Linked DNA regions of Saccharomyces cerevisiae S288C. The gene in region 4 interacts genetically with the main gene of each other region. Each region holds a gene or a part of one and is shown on either strand. Other genes may lie near its edges.

Region 1 (4,463 bases), on a different chromosome or scaffold from region 4:
TCATACCCTTGATCATCCGGCAAATTAGTAAACCTAATATATCCCAAATACAAAAGTTCAATAACGTAACAATATTCCATATTATTATTCCCGATTGAAATTGATATATTCTACTGAATCTATCATTCATTATGCAGCAAATAAAACATCCCATGATACCACCCAGGGGGGTGGACCCCATGAGTAAACCTTGTTGTAAAGGAGTTGGATACTTGAAGTACTCATTAAACGTTTTGTTTGTGAGAAAAGTTGCCAATGACGGCACCTCAAGGCCCATTATAAATCCTACTAGTGTCAATATCGCCGTAATTTTCGTAACTTCATAAGTTTTTGTAATTTTGATTTTCGGCATCTTGGGAAGTCTCCAGACAATAGCTTTCATTGCTGTCATTGTGCTTAATAATTTTTAAAGTATAATGTTAGAAACTGTACTTGTTCTTTCTTTTTTCTCTTCTCATATTACACTTATTGAATATTTTGTTTTTTGATTTTCATCCTTTTTTTGTGACGTTCTTGGCTGAGCGTCACAACGTCAGAGCTAAAACAACGAAATAAAAGAGAAAAAAAAAGCAATAGATTTGATTACGTATGAATATTATATAGGGAATGGAATGAACAAAATGAAAATACTCAATAGTAAGCAGTATTTACAGTGCTACATTTTTTTTAGGATTGCAAATCATCAATATGAATATAAACTTCTTTCATTTTTCTTTTATATTTTCTTGTTTAATTAGCCGCGAGAAACCTCTATTTCATTTTCAGCCAAGATTTCCCTTAACGTGTGGTACACCTTCTCATCGTTAGGGATAACCTCGCCAATACCATACTGAGCAATGGAATATAGGCCCCAGACACCGATAATGGTTGAAATAATCAATGCCAAATATCCTTCAGTAGTAAATCCCTTTGGTAGTGGCTCAGGTTGTCTTGGTAATCCTTTTAAGTCAAACCAATCATTCGAATGACCTGCAGCATTACCAACTACCGGAATATCAGCGGCTTTGCATATATCCAGATAGTTCTCATTAAGCTTTTCCCTTTCCTGAAGTAAAACGGGTGCCTCAATAAAGACCGAAGCCAAACCTTGTTGTAAGTGCCAATCTACATGACAATGGAAATACCAGACACCAGGGTTGTCAGCTCTAAATCTCAGGACAACATGTCCACTAGGTTCAAGAACCACTGTATCTCTCACCATCGGCCTCTCAGGGAACGGTTGTAATGGCGCAGATTCGTTATAAGGGACGGTCATTTCATCTTGCTCAGATTCGTCATAAGCTTCATCAACATGGAACCCTGGCGACTTTTGGACTATTTGGAAATTATGACCGTGCAAATGGAATGGATGTCTGCCAGAATCATAATTGTTTAGAACAACCTCTATGATATCATTATGTTTCAATAACTGCGCATTGATATTATCACCATAAATTCTAGGATCTGACGCAAGCTTTCCTGAGGTAAGCAACGTTGTCAAAGTAGGCACCTTTGGTGTGACGTAAGTGATATTATTGAAAAATGCATACTTCACACCATCACCCAAGTTGACCATTCTTACATCCATGACAATTTGGTGGTCATAGTGAGCAAGTAGGTCTCTCTCAATCAGAGGTTCTAGGTAAAAGTCATTCGTGGCGCGGTCCAAGTCACAATCTTCAATGTTCAATGCGCGTGCCTCCGGCAACGAGTGGCCATACCTCATTTGGATAGTTTGGTTGAGTTGTAACTCAGGTGGGACAACATCAAGCATCGTCTCATCCATTATTTGCATCATAGCGTAGTTTCTTGTAGGCATTTTATCTTTAGCTTTAATCAACACACTCATTCTTTGCCCCGCAGAAAGATATATCGAATCAGTAAAGTTTGGCTTTACGTAAACACCGTCCACCTCTACTATACTCATTTCATGATCCTCAAGAATGATATACTGGGATACAAACAGCCCAACGTTCAAGAACCTGAAGAGATACGTTTCACCGGGTGTAAAATCTAAAGTTACATTCATCGTATTATTAAAAAGAATATTTTGAGGAATAGGTTCAGCACCGGTTGGATTATATCTTGACAGAAACTCTTTGGTAACCGTTTTATAATTTTCGTGATAATGGTCCGATAGAGTGATGACTCGTTCATGATCATATTCGAAGGGCTCCTCCGGATCGTGGATGATAAATGCACCCCTCATACCGTCACCGTACTGGGCACCCATGTGTGCATGGTACCAGAACGTTCCTACCTGCTCTGGGACAGTGAAGTTGTACAGGTATGTTTGTCCCGGAACGATGGGACATTGTGTCACCATAGAAGGACCATCCATTTGAAGCTGGTTCCCCAAACTCGTATTCTGGAAAAGACCATGGAAATGTAGAGAAGTAGCAGTATTGTCTTGAAAGCCGTTAGTCAAATAAAGCTCAACACGATCTCCTTTTTCAACATGGATATCTGGAAGTGGCCATTCGCCATTAAAACCAATCATCCTTTTTTCATGCAATCCATCAGGATTGGCAGTTACCCAAGAAGCGGTATAGTTTAACTTATGTGTCTTTGCCAAAGCAACACTAGCGGCCAGTACAGACCACACGAACGAGTAGAACAACATCGTTTCTTGTCTTCCTGTGCTTGATTCTTTCTTCTTTCATTCGGAACTCTTTTTTTACGTCTTCGTATTTTCTGTGATCTTATATAAAAATGTATGTATTATAAGAATCGATGGCGAAACAGGGTGCAGACTGAATACAAAAGCCACAAAGTAATAAAACAAGAATATTAAAAATATTTAGATACAGTTCGATAAATTCTATAAACACCTTACCTATCTTAGCTTGAGCAGCTTTTTTGAAAGGAAATCAACCAGTAGCCTATCGGTAATCAACTCATAGACATTAATACAATCCCTAGACATCAAATCAATGGCCAAGGAGTAGTCACCATCGTCATACTTGAATTTCACTTTATATGTAATCTCTCTGAAGGAATCTCGTTGGGAGGGTCCCCACATTTTCATTCGAGGGGTGGATATCAACCTACTTAACTGTTCCACCGTTCTTGACACATTTTAGCATATTCTCAACGCTCTTTTGAGTACCTGAGGACTCGAATCCATCAGGCTTCCTTTTTTTCTGATTATAGCAGTTCTTCATAGCGTTTATAAACTGTCCATTTTGCTCTTTCTTGGAATCATGTGTACTCATGAACACCAAACCCTCTGAGTACCGCACCCGCCAGCAGATCAATTGTTCCAGCACCTATAACTACAGCTTACTCCCCACACTTCAGCTAGGACGGCCTTACTACATGGAGAGCGACAAATAGTGGCATCTACAGAGGACTCTTGCTAGAAATTCACTGTAACGGTAATCAGTAAACGCAGTCGACGTTAACCACGAACTCTTGACAAAGGGTGCCGTCACGGTCAGTGATGCAGCAAATGGTATGTTGAGCTGCAAACTATAATGGCCTCACAGAAACTCTTTGGTAAACCTATTTGGGTATGAGGGCTATATGCTTACTGCATCACCCGCTTTACAGTAGTTTGAGATACTTCAATTTCAAGAACAGCACCGTTGGATTCGTGGCCCAAAGTCATGGGCTTCCCAGGTTACTTTACGCTGACCTGGCCATCCGTGTAGTAGTGAATGTCTGATCCGCAGATTCCAATAGCCTTCACTTAAACTTTGACCTGTGACATCACGTTGGCTTGGCAACTTTCTGAATCTCTTTCATGTTTGGTTCAAAACATTTGATAGCTTTCTGCATTGTGTTGAGTGGAGGTCAGAAGGTCAGATATTACCAATTACCGTCATCCTCAATGTCACTCATGATAGAATGTTTGCTTTATGTCTGAGATCAGAGAGATCGCGTATCGCTGAGCAGGGGGACTTGTTTCTCCCACCCTTTTTCATAAAGCATCTTGACAATTATATTAAAACACTCAACCATTTCGCTATCTGAGAAAAGGGTGAAGAAGGCAACTACACAAAAAGATTAGTGGTGATGTCGGATGTAGATAACTGGGAACCCGTATCAGATAATGAGGACAGTACTGATTCTGTGAAACAATTGGGTCCCCCCTTTGAGCATGCAAGTAACAATGACAATGCCGGCGATACTGAAGCTGAGTCACTGCAAGAAGTGCCCCTAAATACAGAGACCAACGACGTACGCAAGAATTTAGTAGTGATTACAAACCAAAGTGCCGCCGATGAACACCCTACAGAGATCAAGCACGATCAATCAAGGACTTCTTCGACGTCCTCGTTCTTCAGTGGAATGATCTCTTCGTTTAAGTCAAACGTGCCATCCCCAGTTTCTAGATCAACTACGCCAACTTCGCCAGTTTCGCAACCAAGCATTATATCACATAGAAGGGAGCCTTCCATGGGGTCCAAAAGAAGATCAAGCCGCCGTATCAGTAATGCCACAATTGCTGAAATAGGCTCTCCCTTGCAACAGGTGGAAAA
Region 2 (5,588 bases), on a different chromosome or scaffold from region 4:
TATTGACATGTTATTTGACTCTCATAGAGTCCCTAGACGACACCGTTTCGCCCACCGTTGCAATGGAAGGTGCAGACATTTTAACTTTGACAAACAAGTATATTGAAATCTTTCAACACCTGGTTAATTATCTGTTACAAGAACTACAAAACTGGAGTGAAAATGCAGAACAAGATTCCGATGACACAGATACGGAATTGCAAAGAGATACTTTGGATGAAGACGCGATGCAAGTTACCAGGGACGGAAGTGGTATCCGAACCAATGGACCTGTACAACCTCCAGCAGAAGTTATGGACGTTTCTGAACAAGTGACTCCGTCTTCACTTACCGAAGTACTCGCCAACTCTTTAAAGTTCAACCATGCTTTGATGGAATTGGTTATTGAGTCGAAAATATCTATTGAAAAAAATGTCGAAACGAAAATCTTGAATCCTATTCAGATTAATTTCTTGGAAGATACAACCAATAAATTCTATTTACAACTACGCGACATTATAGACTCCATTTCCGCCGCCATTCCATTAGATTTGAAGGAAATCGGTTTAGCCAAGACTTTAATTGAAGGTTTGAACATCATTAGCTCCGGAACCTTCGAGTCATTGCAAGATTTTGTTCTGCAAACCGTCTCCTTTACCGATCTGCTTGATGAAAAAGATGTACAGGGTAAGATTGATCTTTCGTTGATTAGAGTTGATATCGTTGAATTTGCCATTCTATGTTTAAACGATTATTCTTCAGATGCATCTTGGAAACTCTCTGGGTTATTGACCAAAGTTCTTACAGAGGCTAGAACTTTATTAACAGACTATAGAAATCAAATCTTGTTTCTGAAAAATCAGACATTGAACGAACAATTGAGTCACGTAGTTTTTCAACTTTGTGATGTCTTAGTAAATTCCTCCGATAATGAACTGAGAAGGTACGCTATAAAAGAATCAACTGAAAAGTCACAAAAAACCCCCGGGGGAGCGCATACTTTAAACATATTGATGAAAAACGCTAACGTTTTTCTGAATAATGCTGTCGCTATCTCATCAAAACAGTGCGGGTTACAAGAAACGATTATTGATAAACTGAAGAGGAACTATATCCATAATCAAGCCAAGGAAAGACTACTTTTCTTACAGAGGCTGGAACAGAAGTCAAATGAGGATGACGGTACTTCTGCTTCGCCTACCGCAATGACGTTCGATATGCCACCAGAACACCCTTTTTATAGCCACTATCGGTAGTGAAATTACGTACATATACATAAGTAGAAGATAATTCGTTGCGCATATGCTACAAGAACCCTTGGTGAAACGAAATTTGATACAAGTAAATACATGCAGGAAACATACATTACCTCTGAAACAAAGCCGAGACGGGGCCCAGCAGTCTTTTTTTAGAAATCGCGTGGCTTGGTAACGCGATAATGACGCGACACAGCCATTAGTGTGAAATTTGATTTTCTTGGCCAAACTAGGTATAATATTTGTTACAAATTATTGATTTTAATATATATCTCGGGTTCATTTTTTACGTCGGTACTCCAAAGGATCAGAACACTTACATTTTGAGGCCTACCGGACCTTGCAGTACTGCTTGTTTAAATACGCAGTATACATTTCTTCTTCTTCTTCTCTCTTCTTTCCTTCCTCGAAGAGTCACTAAATTAATACTGGGAAGCCAAACCAAAAAAACTATACAATGAGTGATCAAAATAATCGATCGAGAAATGAATATCACTCAAACCGGAAGAATGAACCTTCCTATGAACTCCAAAATGCACATAGCGGGCTATTTCACTCTTCTAATGAAGAATTAACAAACAGGAACCAAAGATATACCAATCAAAATGCCAGCATGGGTTCATTCACTCCAGTCCAATCTTTGCAATTTCCAGAACAATCTCAGCAAACAAATATGCTTTATAACGGTGACGATGGCAATAATAATACTATCAATGATAACGAACGAGACATATATGGAGGTTTTGTCAACCACCATCGCCAGCGTCCCCCACCAGCAACTGCAGAATACAATGACGTTTTTAATACGAATAGTCAACAGCTACCGTCGGAACATCAATACAATAACGTACCTTCATATCCACTTCCTTCGATAAATGTGATTCAAACCACTCCAGAACTCATACATAACGGCTCACAGACTATGGCCACCCCCATCGAAAGGCCCTTCTTTAACGAAAACGACTACTATTATAATAACAGGAACTCTAGGACGTCACCGAGTATTGCTTCTAGTAGCGATGGTTATGCAGATCAGGAAGCTAGGCCCATTTTGGAGCAACCCAACAATAACATGAATAGCGGTAATATTCCTCAATACCATGACCAACCTTTTGGATACAACAATGGTTACCATGGCCTACAGGCAAAAGATTACTATGACGATCCGGAGGGTGGTTATATTGATCAGAGAGGAGATGACTATCAGATTAATTCATATTTGGGTAGAAACGGTGAAATGGTTGATCCTTACGATTATGAAAACAGTTTAAGACATATGACTCCTATGGAGCGTAGAGAATATCTTCATGATGATAGCAGACCCGTAAACGATGGAAAAGAAGAATTAGACAGTGTGAAAAGCGGTTACTCTCATAGAGACTTGGGGGAATATGACAAGGATGATTTTTCAAGGGATGACGAGTACGATGATCTCAACACTATTGATAAATTACAGTTTCAAGCTAATGGTGTACCTGCATCATCCTCGGTGTCTTCTATCGGATCTAAAGAATCCGACATAATAGTAAGCAATGATAACTTAACCGCAAATAGAGCACTAAAGAGAAGCGGTACTGAAATTAGGAAATTCAAACTTTGGAATGGTAATTTTGTTTTCGATTCTCCAATCAGTAAGACGCTATTGGACCAATACGCTACTACAACAGAAAATGCAAACACTTTACCAAATGAGTTTAAGTTTATGAGATATCAAGCAGTTACTTGCGAACCTAATCAACTTGCAGAGAAGAATTTCACGGTGAGGCAGTTGAAGTATTTAACTCCAAGGGAAACGGAATTGATGCTAGTAGTCACAATGTATAATGAAGACCATATCCTGTTAGGAAGAACTTTGAAAGGTATTATGGACAATGTCAAATATATGGTGAAAAAAAAAAATTCAAGCACTTGGGGGCCGGATGCATGGAAAAAGATTGTCGTTTGTATCATTTCAGATGGTAGATCCAAAATTAATGAACGCTCGCTAGCATTACTAAGTTCGTTAGGTTGTTACCAGGACGGGTTTGCTAAGGATGAAATTAATGAAAAAAAAGTGGCAATGCATGTCTACGAACATACGACAATGATCAACATCACAAATATTTCGGAATCAGAGGTTTCATTAGAATGCAATCAAGGTACCGTTCCAATACAACTTTTGTTTTGTTTGAAAGAGCAAAATCAGAAAAAAATTAACTCACATAGATGGGCATTTGAAGGCTTTGCAGAATTACTGCGTCCCAATATCGTTACATTGTTAGATGCTGGTACCATGCCAGGTAAAGATTCTATTTACCAGTTATGGAGAGAGTTCAGGAATCCAAATGTTGGTGGCGCATGTGGTGAAATAAGAACTGATTTGGGTAAGAGATTTGTAAAGCTTTTGAATCCTTTAGTTGCATCACAGAATTTCGAATACAAAATGTCCAATATTTTAGACAAAACAACCGAGTCTAACTTTGGATTTATTACTGTTCTACCGGGGGCATTCTCTGCGTATAGGTTTGAAGCTGTGAGAGGCCAACCATTACAGAAGTACTTTTATGGTGAAATTATGGAAAATGAAGGTTTTCATTTTTTTTCTTCCAATATGTATCTTGCTGAAGATCGTATTTTATGCTTTGAAGTGGTCACAAAAAAAAATTGTAATTGGATTTTGAAATACTGCAGAAGTTCTTATGCTTCAACAGATGTACCGGAGAGGGTCCCTGAATTTATTCTTCAGAGGAGGCGTTGGTTGAATGGTTCATTTTTTGCTAGTGTATATTCCTTTTGTCATTTTTACAGAGTCTGGAGCAGTGGTCATAATATTGGTAGAAAACTCCTTTTGACGGTTGAATTTTTTTACCTTTTCTTCAATACATTGATTTCATGGTTTTCATTGAGTTCATTTTTCCTAGTCTTTAGAATTCTCACTGTTTCTATTGCACTGGCATACCATTCAGCATTTAATGTGTTGTCCGTCATATTCCTGTGGCTTTATGGGATTTGTACCTTATCAACATTCATACTGTCATTGGGTAATAAACCTAAAAGTACTGAGAAATTTTATGTTCTAACTTGCGTCATTTTTGCGGTGATGATGATTTACATGATATTCTGCAGTATATTCATGAGTGTCAAATCCTTCCAAAATATATTGAAAAACGATACCATCAGCTTTGAGGGTTTGATTACCACAGAAGCTTTCAGGGATATTGTTATCTCTCTGGGCTCCACTTATTGTTTGTACCTAATCAGTTCAATTATCTATTTGCAGCCATGGCATATGTTGACAAGTTTTATTCAGTATATTTTATTGAGTCCTTCTTACATCAATGTTTTGAATATCTATGCATTTTGTAATGTCCACGACTTATCATGGGGTACAAAGGGTGCAATGGCAAATCCGCTGGGTAAGATTAATACTACAGAAGATGGTACGTTCAAAATGGAAGTTCTGGTCTCTAGTTCAGAGATTCAAGCAAACTACGATAAATATTTGAAAGTTTTAAATGACTTCGATCCAAAATCAGAATCTCGGCCTACTGAGCCATCTTATGATGAAAAAAAGACTGGCTATTATGCAAACGTTAGATCTCTCGTGATTATCTTTTGGGTCATCACAAATTTCATCATCGTTGCTGTTGTCTTAGAAACCGGTGGGATTGCAGATTATATTGCTATGAAATCCATATCAACTGATGACACTTTAGAAACTGCAAAGAAGGCGGAAATTCCCTTAATGACCAGTAAGGCCTCAATTTATTTTAATGTAATTTTATGGTTAGTTGCATTATCGGCATTAATAAGGTTCATTGGTTGCTCAATATACATGATAGTAAGGTTTTTTAAAAAGGTTACATTTCGCTAAGTAGATTGATTACCCCTTTGTTATAAATAAGTATATGTGTTTACTATCATATAATAATTAATTAGTTGTAAGTATGGTATTTTTCAAAGAAACATTTAGTATTATTTTTAAAGGGTGCCTTTACCATAAAACCAAAAAAAAATGGCTTCTGAGAGAAAAACATAAATAATTGATAAAACTGAAACTCACAACACCAACTCTTCCGCTCTAAACACCCAAAGCTCAAAAAACGACATGTGCACATCTATATCCATAAACTTTCAAAAAAGTGGTTCATTCGCAAATTCATGAAGTATTATTTAATACACAGTAATCTGGCATTTCATACTATCATTGCTCAAATTATCCGCCGGACCCTTGAAACTGTGGCGCTTTTTAAGACGCATCTCCAAAAAAAGAAAAAGAACAAAAGAAAAAAAGCTGCAAATATATATACAAAACAGATTTCACGTTTATTGCTTGGGAGTAAGGTAACGATCCGGAAGCCTTGAAGAAATTTG
Region 3 (3,192 bases), on a different chromosome or scaffold from region 4:
TTTCTCTCCCAACTGGGACGGAGATAGGGCCACCAGTGTCAAGAACCTTTTCACCACGGACCAAACCTTCGGTACCATCCATAGCAATGGTTCTGACAGTGTTTTCACCCAAATGTTGAGCAACTTCCAAAACCAACTTACCTTGAGGTGTTTTAATTTCTAAAGCGTTCAAAATAGCGGGCAACTCTGATTGTTCAAAATGAACGTCAACAATGGCACCAATGACAGCGGTAACTTTACCGGTGATTGGAGTAGATTGAGCAGCTGAGGCCATACATCTTTTCCACGAAGTGGATAGAAGCGGAGCGGATTGTTTGGCTGCTTTAAAAGCAGCACGGGATGTAGCAGTATATAGTCTTGGCAAAACCATTCTTTTTTTTATTTTTGTTTTCTCTCAAAGATTCAGTATAAATTGGATAACAACAGACTAAAAAATGAAAGAAAAGAAAGACAAATTTGACTTGAGGAGGAGCACTTTTGTCTTCGTTTATGAGGGGGGTTTAGGTTGCTAAAATTTGTGTTACTGTTTGATCTTTGCAAAATTTATCCAATTGGCCTGTCCTGGAGAGATAAAGAAAGTTTAAAAAAGGGCAAGTTAAAATGTTTGTTCTGTAATACAAAAAAGAGGTTAATGCAAAAAGTGCGTTCTTTATAAGCGTTGTATCTAAGAGCTCGAAGATGGGAATATCCTTGCGCTGCTTGGCCGGCGAGGGGCCCACCCGGCACGCGCTTGGAGGTCGCCGTTGATTGGCCGCTATATATCGCGAATCACGGGGGTGTGTGTGCGACCCGGTGCGCCGGGTGGCATATGGGCGGCTAATTGCGTATAAGATGATAACATCCCAGCGCATCACGTGAAAGGAAATACATATATATGTGGCTTTATTACTGGTTTAGAGTATTTTTGTACTGTGACTACTACTGTATTTCATGTAGCAGAATACACAGCCTTTTACTTCTGTTCTTTCTCAAAGGTTCAAGAAATAGAATAGCCAAGTGCCATCAAGAACTCGAACTAACTTTCGTAGAAGGAGTAGTATACAGTCTTGCTTGTCACAACTCTTTCAGGAGCTTTCTTTTTAGTATTATACACGATCCGTATGCTCATCTCGTGATATAGAAGTAACGCATTGAATGCAAAGAAAGGCAGATATTTTACCCTAGGTGTAACCAGAAGAGATTAGGAGGGCTTAGGGCCAGTATTTTATCTGATGTAGGGCAAACGAGTAAAATGTGTAGGGTATGGGCTAATATCAAGGGCTTCGGACTTACTGCCCCGCTCACAGAAACAGCCGCACTAATTAATTTCTTTTGTGTAACGTTAAAGTAACCCTGGAATCATCATTGAAAAATTATCATCCCAAGAGACAGAGATGTGCATGTTGACAACGCAGGCTCAATGTAGAATAAGATCTGACTACTTAGTCAATTTTACCTCTAGATCATATTAACTAATCTCATCTTGCACAAAAAACGTATCACTATCATGGAGGAAATTCCTGCCCTGTATCCAACGGAACAAGAATTCAAAAATCCGATCGATTATCTCTCTAACCCCCACATTAAAAGGCTTGGTGTACGATATGGTATGGTCAAGGTCGTACCACCAAACGGGTTCTGCCCGCCACTTTCTATTGATATGGAAAATTTTACTTTTCAACCAAGAATTCAAAATCTGGAGAACCTAGACCTGAAAAATAGGTGTAGGCTATTTTTTATGAAACAGTTAAATAATTTTAAAAGATCCGTTAAGGATCCATCGAAACTTATACTTAGGGAACCTTATACGATTGTAGAATATTCAGATTCTACTCATGCATCGGAAATACTAAAAAAAAAAGTGTACTTTTATGACGTTTTCTCTGAACTAATAAAAGACAATCGGACACTTACTGACACTACACAGTCATTCAGGCGAAAATTGAAATTTAGAGATATTTCCCAATTAAGAGGCGACATCAGTCTATGGAGGACCATTTCTAAAAAATTCAACGTACCAATCGGCTTGTTAAAGGAAATTTTTGAGAAATATATTGCCTCATACTACATATTTCTTCATTCACTGAACGAGAACGTGCACACGGCGCTGCATGCTGACCAGTATCCAAAATCCTTATTAAGTGATGACGAGGACGATTTCGATCTTGGGCCAGATTCGAATTCTGGGTCGGATTTTGAGGAGGACGATGATGATGCTTGTATTGTTTGTCGCAAGACAAATGATCCAAAAAGAACAATTTTATGTGATTCATGTGACAAACCATTCCATATATATTGTTTATCACCACCTTTGGAACGTGTTCCCTCTGGCGATTGGATTTGTAACACTTGTATCGTCGGAAACGGATATTACGGATTCACTCAGGACACGCATGACTATTCTCTACCAGAGTTTCAAGAATATTGTAAACGTCAAAATTCAAGGTTATTACCAGCACGAAAACTGTCTATAGATGAGTTGGAAGAGATGTTTTGGAGCTTAGTGACCAAGAATCGTCGCAGTTCATTAACGACAGTTAAATACGGTGCTGACATACATAACGAATTGCCAGGTCAAATTACCGGCTTTCCGACGAGAGAATTTATACCCAAAAATATAAATGGGGACGAATTGATAGACTACCTCAAATATTGCGATCATCCTATGAATTTAACTAACTTGCCTATGGCTCATAATTCGCTATTACCGTTATTTAAAAGAAATATTTCTGGCATGACTATTCCTTGGATTTACATAGGCTCCTTATTTTCCACATTTTGTTGGCATATGGAAGATCAGTATACCCTAAGTGCTAACTATCAACATGAAGGTGACCCTAAGGTCTGGTACAGCATTCCCGAATCGGGATGTACGAAATTCAACGATCTATTAAATGATATGTCACCAGACTTATTTATCAAACAACCAGACCTACTGCATCAGCTAGTGACTTTAATATCTCCGTACGATCCAAATTTCAAGAAATCAGGTATTCCTGTGTACAAAGCTGTGCAAAAGCCCAACGAATATATTATCACGTTTCCTAAATGTTACCATGCTGGTTTTAATACAGGTTATAATTTTAATGAAGCTGTCAATTTTACTATAGATTTCTGGCTACCATATGGATTTGGTGCGATTACGGATTATAAATTAACTCAGAAAGCATGTGTTTTTGATATGTTTGATTTAATGATCAATGTTTTGGACAA
Region 4 (6,035 bases):
TTTTAGCAAAGTGATAATTTGTGAAATATGACACAAGTAGAAGATAAACCTTTACACGCAGAAATAACAGCGGATTATATTTTGATTCTTAGATTTCCTAATTTCGTGAACTTTTAACTAAGAAGGAAAAAACAATTGAGATGAGATCCAAATGGGAGGAGTTTTGAAACAATTGTTTGCTATTATTTCAATGATTTAGTGTTGCCACCAGATGGGTCTATTTTCTGTAAAACTACCGGTTCGAGGCTCCTGCCGTAACCTTAATTGTACTTTTCTATGATTTAATCCAAATAACCATTCCATTCCTCTTTAAGTCTAAGAAACATTAAAAAACAAAAAACACCACGTCCGGGTAATGAAAATATAACGCTGGGTAATGCACGTGTTGATAATTACATCGTTTTTCACTAATATCGTACCAAACGAGATGTTTGCAGAAAGAACAAACCAATATTTTAAATAATCAAAAATCAAATTAGCTATTATTTCTCATTTGGTGATAATAATATATACATACATATATATATATATATATAAATATATAGGTATATATATAAATAACCTAAGACAAGTTAAATGAGTATAAAAAACCTTGAACGTAAATGAAAAAAAAAAAAATACTAGTAAATTGACAACATAAAAGACAAAAATAAATGAAAGAGGAAAGTGGTAATAAAGTGGTTAAAATTTGTTGTAGTTGTAGATAGGAGGAGTCCGCGTAGACAGTTATTCAAATTCAATTGAGGAAGAAAAATAGATTTCAAAGAATACTGGGAATTTGTTAATCGAGAAGTGTTTAAATTTCACTCCTAAATCCAAAAGTACCGCCAGAAATACTTTTTCTCACTCTACCCATGAAACTTTGTTTACCAGCCTGTTCCTCACCTTGCTCGTCGTCATGGTAATCTTGCTCACCCTCATCGGAACCGTACTGATGATGTCTTGGAGTGTGCTCGGCTGAATGAGTAGAATTATTATAGTCGTAGTCAGACCCTTTTGAAGAATTCTGTCTGCTGTGACGGTGATGATTGTGATGATGTTTTGATTTTCCGGAACCCATTGAACCCACCGACACTTTCCTTCCCTGAGAAGTTGTTTCATTATGAATTGAATAGGAAGTGGTTTCTGGGTAGGTGCCCTCAGATGGCTTTTGAGAACTAGAGGTGTTGGTGTCTTTAAATCCGTATGTTGGGACATGTGGGTCAATCAAACTAGGGAAATTACCAACTTCGGCAGCATAAGCGTTTGAGGCGTCGGCACCACCAAGGTCGGTTCTACGTTTGTTCTTCAAATCTACTTCACGCTTGTAGCCCGGTGCGTCTTCCTCTAAAACTTTCGCATTCTTATTGACATCAATATTATCGTCGCTAGAATATTCTTGATTTTGGGAATTGCCGCCAGAACCGTAACTGGCCTTTTGTTCTGATGATGGTTCCTGATCGTGAGTCATTCCAGTAATATCTTGTGATTTGGCATATGTAGGGTCCGCATTTTTAATATTATCGTAAGCAGCTGTTTCAGCATCCCCTGATTTGGAGTATGTAGTGTCTCCAGATCTGGAATTATCAAAGGCAGCAACATTAGCGTTTTCGAGATGAGTGTCTGTATTTTTACTATCATCAAAAGGGTTCGAGCTGAAGGTCTTGGATTTTGCACCCATCCTTCCGGTTGTATCTACGTTTCCAGTAGTACCTGTTTCCGGATTATTGGTGAAATCCTTGGCATCGGATGCAATATCCTGTGTTGTTTTTGCTCTTCTTGGCTCAATTTGGTCAATAAAATTAGAACGCGTTGGAGTTGGGCCTGATTTATTTTTGCTTAAATCAGATAATTTTTTGTTACCAGAAGTATTCGAGTATTCGTAATTGCCAAGACTCTCATCTCTTGCAGTCTCCATACCAGCACGGTTAGTGGTTTGCCTTGGAGACAACGGGTCTTCATCTTGTTTTTGCACTGATTTTGACAACGTATCAGGTTCAAAAGTACCTGGGATTTTCTCTCTCTGCTCATAATTGTAATCCGATGGTTTTCCCTGGTACGCTTTCTTAGAATACAAGTCGTTTTTCTTTGCATTTGAGTAGTCGTCAATATCATTCTCGTGGTAGTCTTCAACATCATCCAAATAATCCAACCCATATTGATGAGGTTTAGTAGAATCTTCATTCATATCTTCGTCCTTCATAGCAGGTGATACAACATTGTTTCGGGTGGTGGCATCATTAGAAAGCCCGGACCATTCTGCTTCATGACGGGGTGACATGTCAATATTGTTGTTCGTATTTTGAGAACCAGCTTGTGAACCGGCAACATATTGCAAGTTATCCCTACCATTATCATTATACTTCATATGTCCTAATTCGGTTCCCGCTTTAGGCATATTCTGAGATCCAGATGTACCGCTGTCGAATTTCTCCTTCATACTAGAAGGTATAACAACATCCTGCAGATTCTTATTTTTACCAGCGCTGGAACTATATTCAATTGGACCCCAATTAGAATCCGTCTTGGATTTAATGTTTTTCTGTTGATAATCATCGGCGGATTCCAGAATGTCATCTCTTTCAATGTTAAATTTTTCAGCCGCTCTTTCTGATATATTTTTATTATCAACCTTATTCTTTTCTGGGTGTTGAATGTTTTTATTGCTATCATGATAAGAAGGTTGCTGGCTTACAAAACCACTTGTCCCGACTGCTGCTTTGGGTTCAGGTTCCATAGTTTGCTGTTGGATTGCATCAGAACCAGAAACTTGGTCATTTTTCAATCCAGTTTGTTCGCTCTCATCCATCTTCACGTTCTGTGCAATTTCTTTAATTGTATCTTGAGGAGGACCAGTCGCAGTGTTGCCAGAGTACTTTCTACGATCTGCAGACTTCGAACTTGTGTCCGTGTAGACACTAGGGTCGACAGCGTTCATACCGGAACTAACATTACTCTTTGGGCCTGTACTTGTGTAAACACTAGGATCAACAGGGTTCACATCAGTACCAGTCATGCCCCGGAAACTACCAGGTATGACATCTCGATCTGAGTTGGAATCAGTGTTCGAATAACCCTTCGTAGCTGAGGAGTTATCTTTAACACTTGTATGTCCATGAGTAACTGAAGGGTTAGTTTTAGTACTGGAATGATCCTGTGCAGCAGCGGTGGATTTAGGACCAGTGCTTGAACCAGAGTGACCATGGCTAACAGGGTGGGTAGTTTTGACGTTGATATGTCCATGTGTAGTTGCAGTGGCTGATGGACCAGTATTCGCTTTAGAATGCTCATGAGTATTGGTAGGAGATGTGGTTTTCACACTGGCATGACCATGTGTGTGAGTGACAGGGGAAGTGGTAGCACTGGAATGACCATGCGTGTGAGTAACAGGAGAAGTGGCAGCTTTGGAAGTGCTGTGGTTATGAGTGGTTGCAATACTTGGATGCCCTGCATCACCTTTGGAATGTCTATGCGCAGTGGGGGACGCCTTTATATTTGAATGTTCATGGCTAGTGGGAGGTGACGTTTTCACTTTGGATTGCTCACTTGTAGCAGCGGGTGTCGTTGTTTTGACATAAGAGTATCCATGGGTAGTAATAGTAGCATTAGGGCCAGAACTTGACTTGGTGTCGGCAGAAACAGGGTTCACATCAGAAGTTACGTTGGCACGGCGGTTAGCGTCCGCCTCAGTGTCTTCGTGTGGAGTTTCCGAGTCTTTATTATGCTTCTTCCTCCAAGGTAACAGAATGTTTTTAGCCTTGGTTTCCAAATTCTTGGACGTTGATTCGGGCTGTTCTTTTGGTAAGTTATATTCGGTCGGCTTTGTAGTACTGAAAGACTTTTTGCGTTGAGCAGAATCTGAATTGGAATCATAGGAACCGGGCTTACCACCAAACGAAAAATTATTTTGTTCTTCTTCGCCTTGACCATCTTTGGAAATGGACTCGTTCATATTCATATCTTGGGTTGGGTGATATTCTTGATAGCTCTCCACTGGGAAATCTTCACGGTGTTCGGTATTATTCTTATCTCTACAGTTACATATAAAAAAAGGTGTTTTTGAGTTAGTTAGTATTATATATTAATTTTCTTGAGGGGGTGGTATTATTAAAGAATTAAATTCAATATTATTACTATTAATTACACTAAGGTGCCGGGTATTATTGACGTTTTTTTTTTCTTAGTCTCTTTAATGAAGAAGGAAAAAGAACTAAGTTATTATTAGAAGGAAAAGGAGGAGGGGAGGCGAGAAAGAATGGTGGAGAATAAATGAAAATCTCCAAGAAAAAATTTCAGCACGATACATATGGATTATACCATGTCACAAAAAAATATTTCGGTTGGAGGTAGATGCAGAGTTATGGTACTGCGAATGTAGGAAGAAAAAAAAAATTAGGAAGTATTTTATGGTGATTATTTCCTTCCTAGTCGCGTACCGTCACTGGCCCGGCAAGACCACCATCCCCAGCTGGTTCTAACTCAGCTGATGGCACCTGCTTTCTTGTTTTCAGTTTTTGAAAGAACTTGCCATTGCCAGCCGGAGTAGTGGTGGTTGTAGGTTGAGGCTGTCCAACCACAGGTGCGGCTGTGATAGGGCCCGCGCCGTCCGTCGCCCCACTATTGTAAGTGGATTTCTCCATTTGAGCACCGGTGTCAACAGAAGGGCTTTCATATTGGGCATACATGTCGTGGTCCGAGTAGGTAGAGTGGGCCTTGTGGGTAGCACTGAATATAGTGGACCAAATGGCGTTCACGAGCATCAAGAAGACCGAAGTCCAGATGAACGCAAAGTTTTTGGGTCCCAGCCTTGCAGACCTCCCGCTGTTGCGGAAGGTCTTTCTGGCCTTCACATAGCAACCTGTGTACAAGCATGCAGCCAATATAATGAAGAAAAAGGCCAACCAGGACAACACACAGTACAGGACTGGCACTGCCTTGAAAGGAAGGAAGGTAGCCAGAAAGCCGGGTACCAGCGCCAGTACGATGAAAAATAGGGAAATCAGCAGCATGGCCCATCCAACCCTGGATAGATAATAGTAGGTATCCCGGTTGTTTCTGAACGACGATGGTAAATTGACAGAGTTACCAAAATTGTCTCTGGGAGAGAAAGGCTTGGCGGGCGCCCTGCTAGAGCAATTAGCTAGCTGGCCGTCTTCGTAGCCGCACCAATTGTAATTGTACCATCTCGTGGTCGATGGAGCGCTGTTAAAGCCGTTTGTATCAGCCTGTAACCAATAAAAATTTTTCAGCGTTCCAGATTCTCTGCCTCCTGACAGAATAAGAAAAAACGTCAATAAGCCAGCACCGAGTAGGAATAAAAACACAAGCAAATTAACGAACCTTTTGAAAATCATAGCGGTAGATTATAGTGATTAGTGTTACTTGTTACTTGGATAAAAAGGAAAGTATAAGCGTTAAACGTAAATACCTCTTTCTTTTTAATTCACTTCAAAATTACTGTACTTAAAGTTTGCATCTAACGGATAACTAATCAAGAGAACAAAGCAAGATCAAGTAACTGTTGCAAAGCAACCATCCTTTTATATGTCGGCATCTGCGCCGAATGCTCCTCCCCATTCCAGACTATCCTTGTTTTAGCATCAAGAAGGAAGGAAGACCTTTCATTGACTCTTGCTTCTTACCACTCCCCTCTTTCCCTTTTCCTTCGTGTGAAAACGTTCCACTCCCTTATATTCAGAGCACCCTTAAATTTGGTTATTTGGTCTTTTTTTTTTATATTACTCCGAGACGTCACTGCAATTTGGCACCGCCGCGTTGGGCTGCGCGGATCATGTCTTACGAGGTGGGAACGGCTCCGGCGTCATCGTCATTATCCTCCTCCTTTTTCACGGTGACGCCATTTTGCGCGGCAAGAAGTCGCAGAGGATTGACGGTAGCATTAATTGCGCAATCAAGACTCCCTGAATCAGGAGCCGCTGCAACCTTCGGATGGGCCAGCTGTTGTTGCAATTCCCGAAAGGTGCATTCAATTGGGCACCAGATCTGGAGTGCCACGGTAGTGTCAGGGAACAGCGTGAGCGAGGAGGTTATATTGA

The links.
Region 1: mutations in HBT1 (region 4) and FET5 together harm fitness more than expected from each alone (negative genetic interaction), as found in Saccharomyces cerevisiae (2 studies listed by BioGRID).
Region 2: mutations in HBT1 (region 4) and CHS1 are lethal when combined (synthetic lethality), as found in Saccharomyces cerevisiae (2 studies listed by BioGRID, with this or other methods).
Region 3: mutations in HBT1 (region 4) and DMO1 together harm fitness more than expected from each alone (negative genetic interaction), as found in Saccharomyces cerevisiae (2 studies listed by BioGRID).

Annotation. Positions count from the first base shown.
Region 1 is NC_001138.5:47,278-51,740, reverse strand, and holds FET5 (ferroxidase FET5), read right to left. Parts: upstream 2,603-4,463; coding exon 734-2,602; downstream 1-733. Other genes in the region: YFL040W (uncharacterized protein), read right to left, coding at 1-391; YFL041W-A (uncharacterized protein), read right to left, coding at 2,816-3,007; LAM5 (Lam5p), read left to right, coding at 3,997-4,463. UniProt on the Saccharomyces cerevisiae protein: Iron transport multicopper oxidase, which is required for Fe(2+) high affinity uptake. May be required to oxidize Fe(2+) and release it from the transporter. Essential component of copper-dependent iron transport.
Region 2 is NC_001146.8:274,810-280,397, forward strand, and holds CHS1 (chitin synthase CHS1), read left to right. Parts: upstream 1-1,692; coding exon 1,693-5,088; downstream 5,089-5,588. Other genes in the region: YNL193W (uncharacterized protein), read left to right, coding at 1-1,235. UniProt on the Saccharomyces cerevisiae protein: Polymerizes chitin, a structural polymer of the cell wall and septum, by transferring the sugar moiety of UDP-GlcNAc to the non-reducing end of the growing chitin polymer. Required for mitotic division septum formation during adverse conditions.
Region 3 is NC_001142.9:644,785-647,976, reverse strand, and holds DMO1 (Dmo1p), read right to left. Parts: upstream 852-3,192; coding exon 501-851; downstream 1-500. Other genes in the region: ATP2 (F1F0 ATP synthase subunit beta), read right to left, coding at 1-370; JHD2 (histone demethylase), read left to right, coding at 1,487-3,192.
Region 4 is NC_001136.10:56,469-62,503, forward strand, and holds HBT1 (Hbt1p), read right to left. Parts: upstream 3,938-6,035; coding exon 797-3,937; downstream 1-796. Other genes in the region: FMP45 (Fmp45p), read right to left, coding at 4,404-5,333; telomere-binding protein CDC13, read right to left, coding at 5,776-6,035. UniProt on the Saccharomyces cerevisiae protein: Polarity-determining protein which forms a conjugate with the ubiquitin-like modifier HUB1. Involved in bud site selection and cellular morphogenesis during conjugation. Required for survival during stationary phase.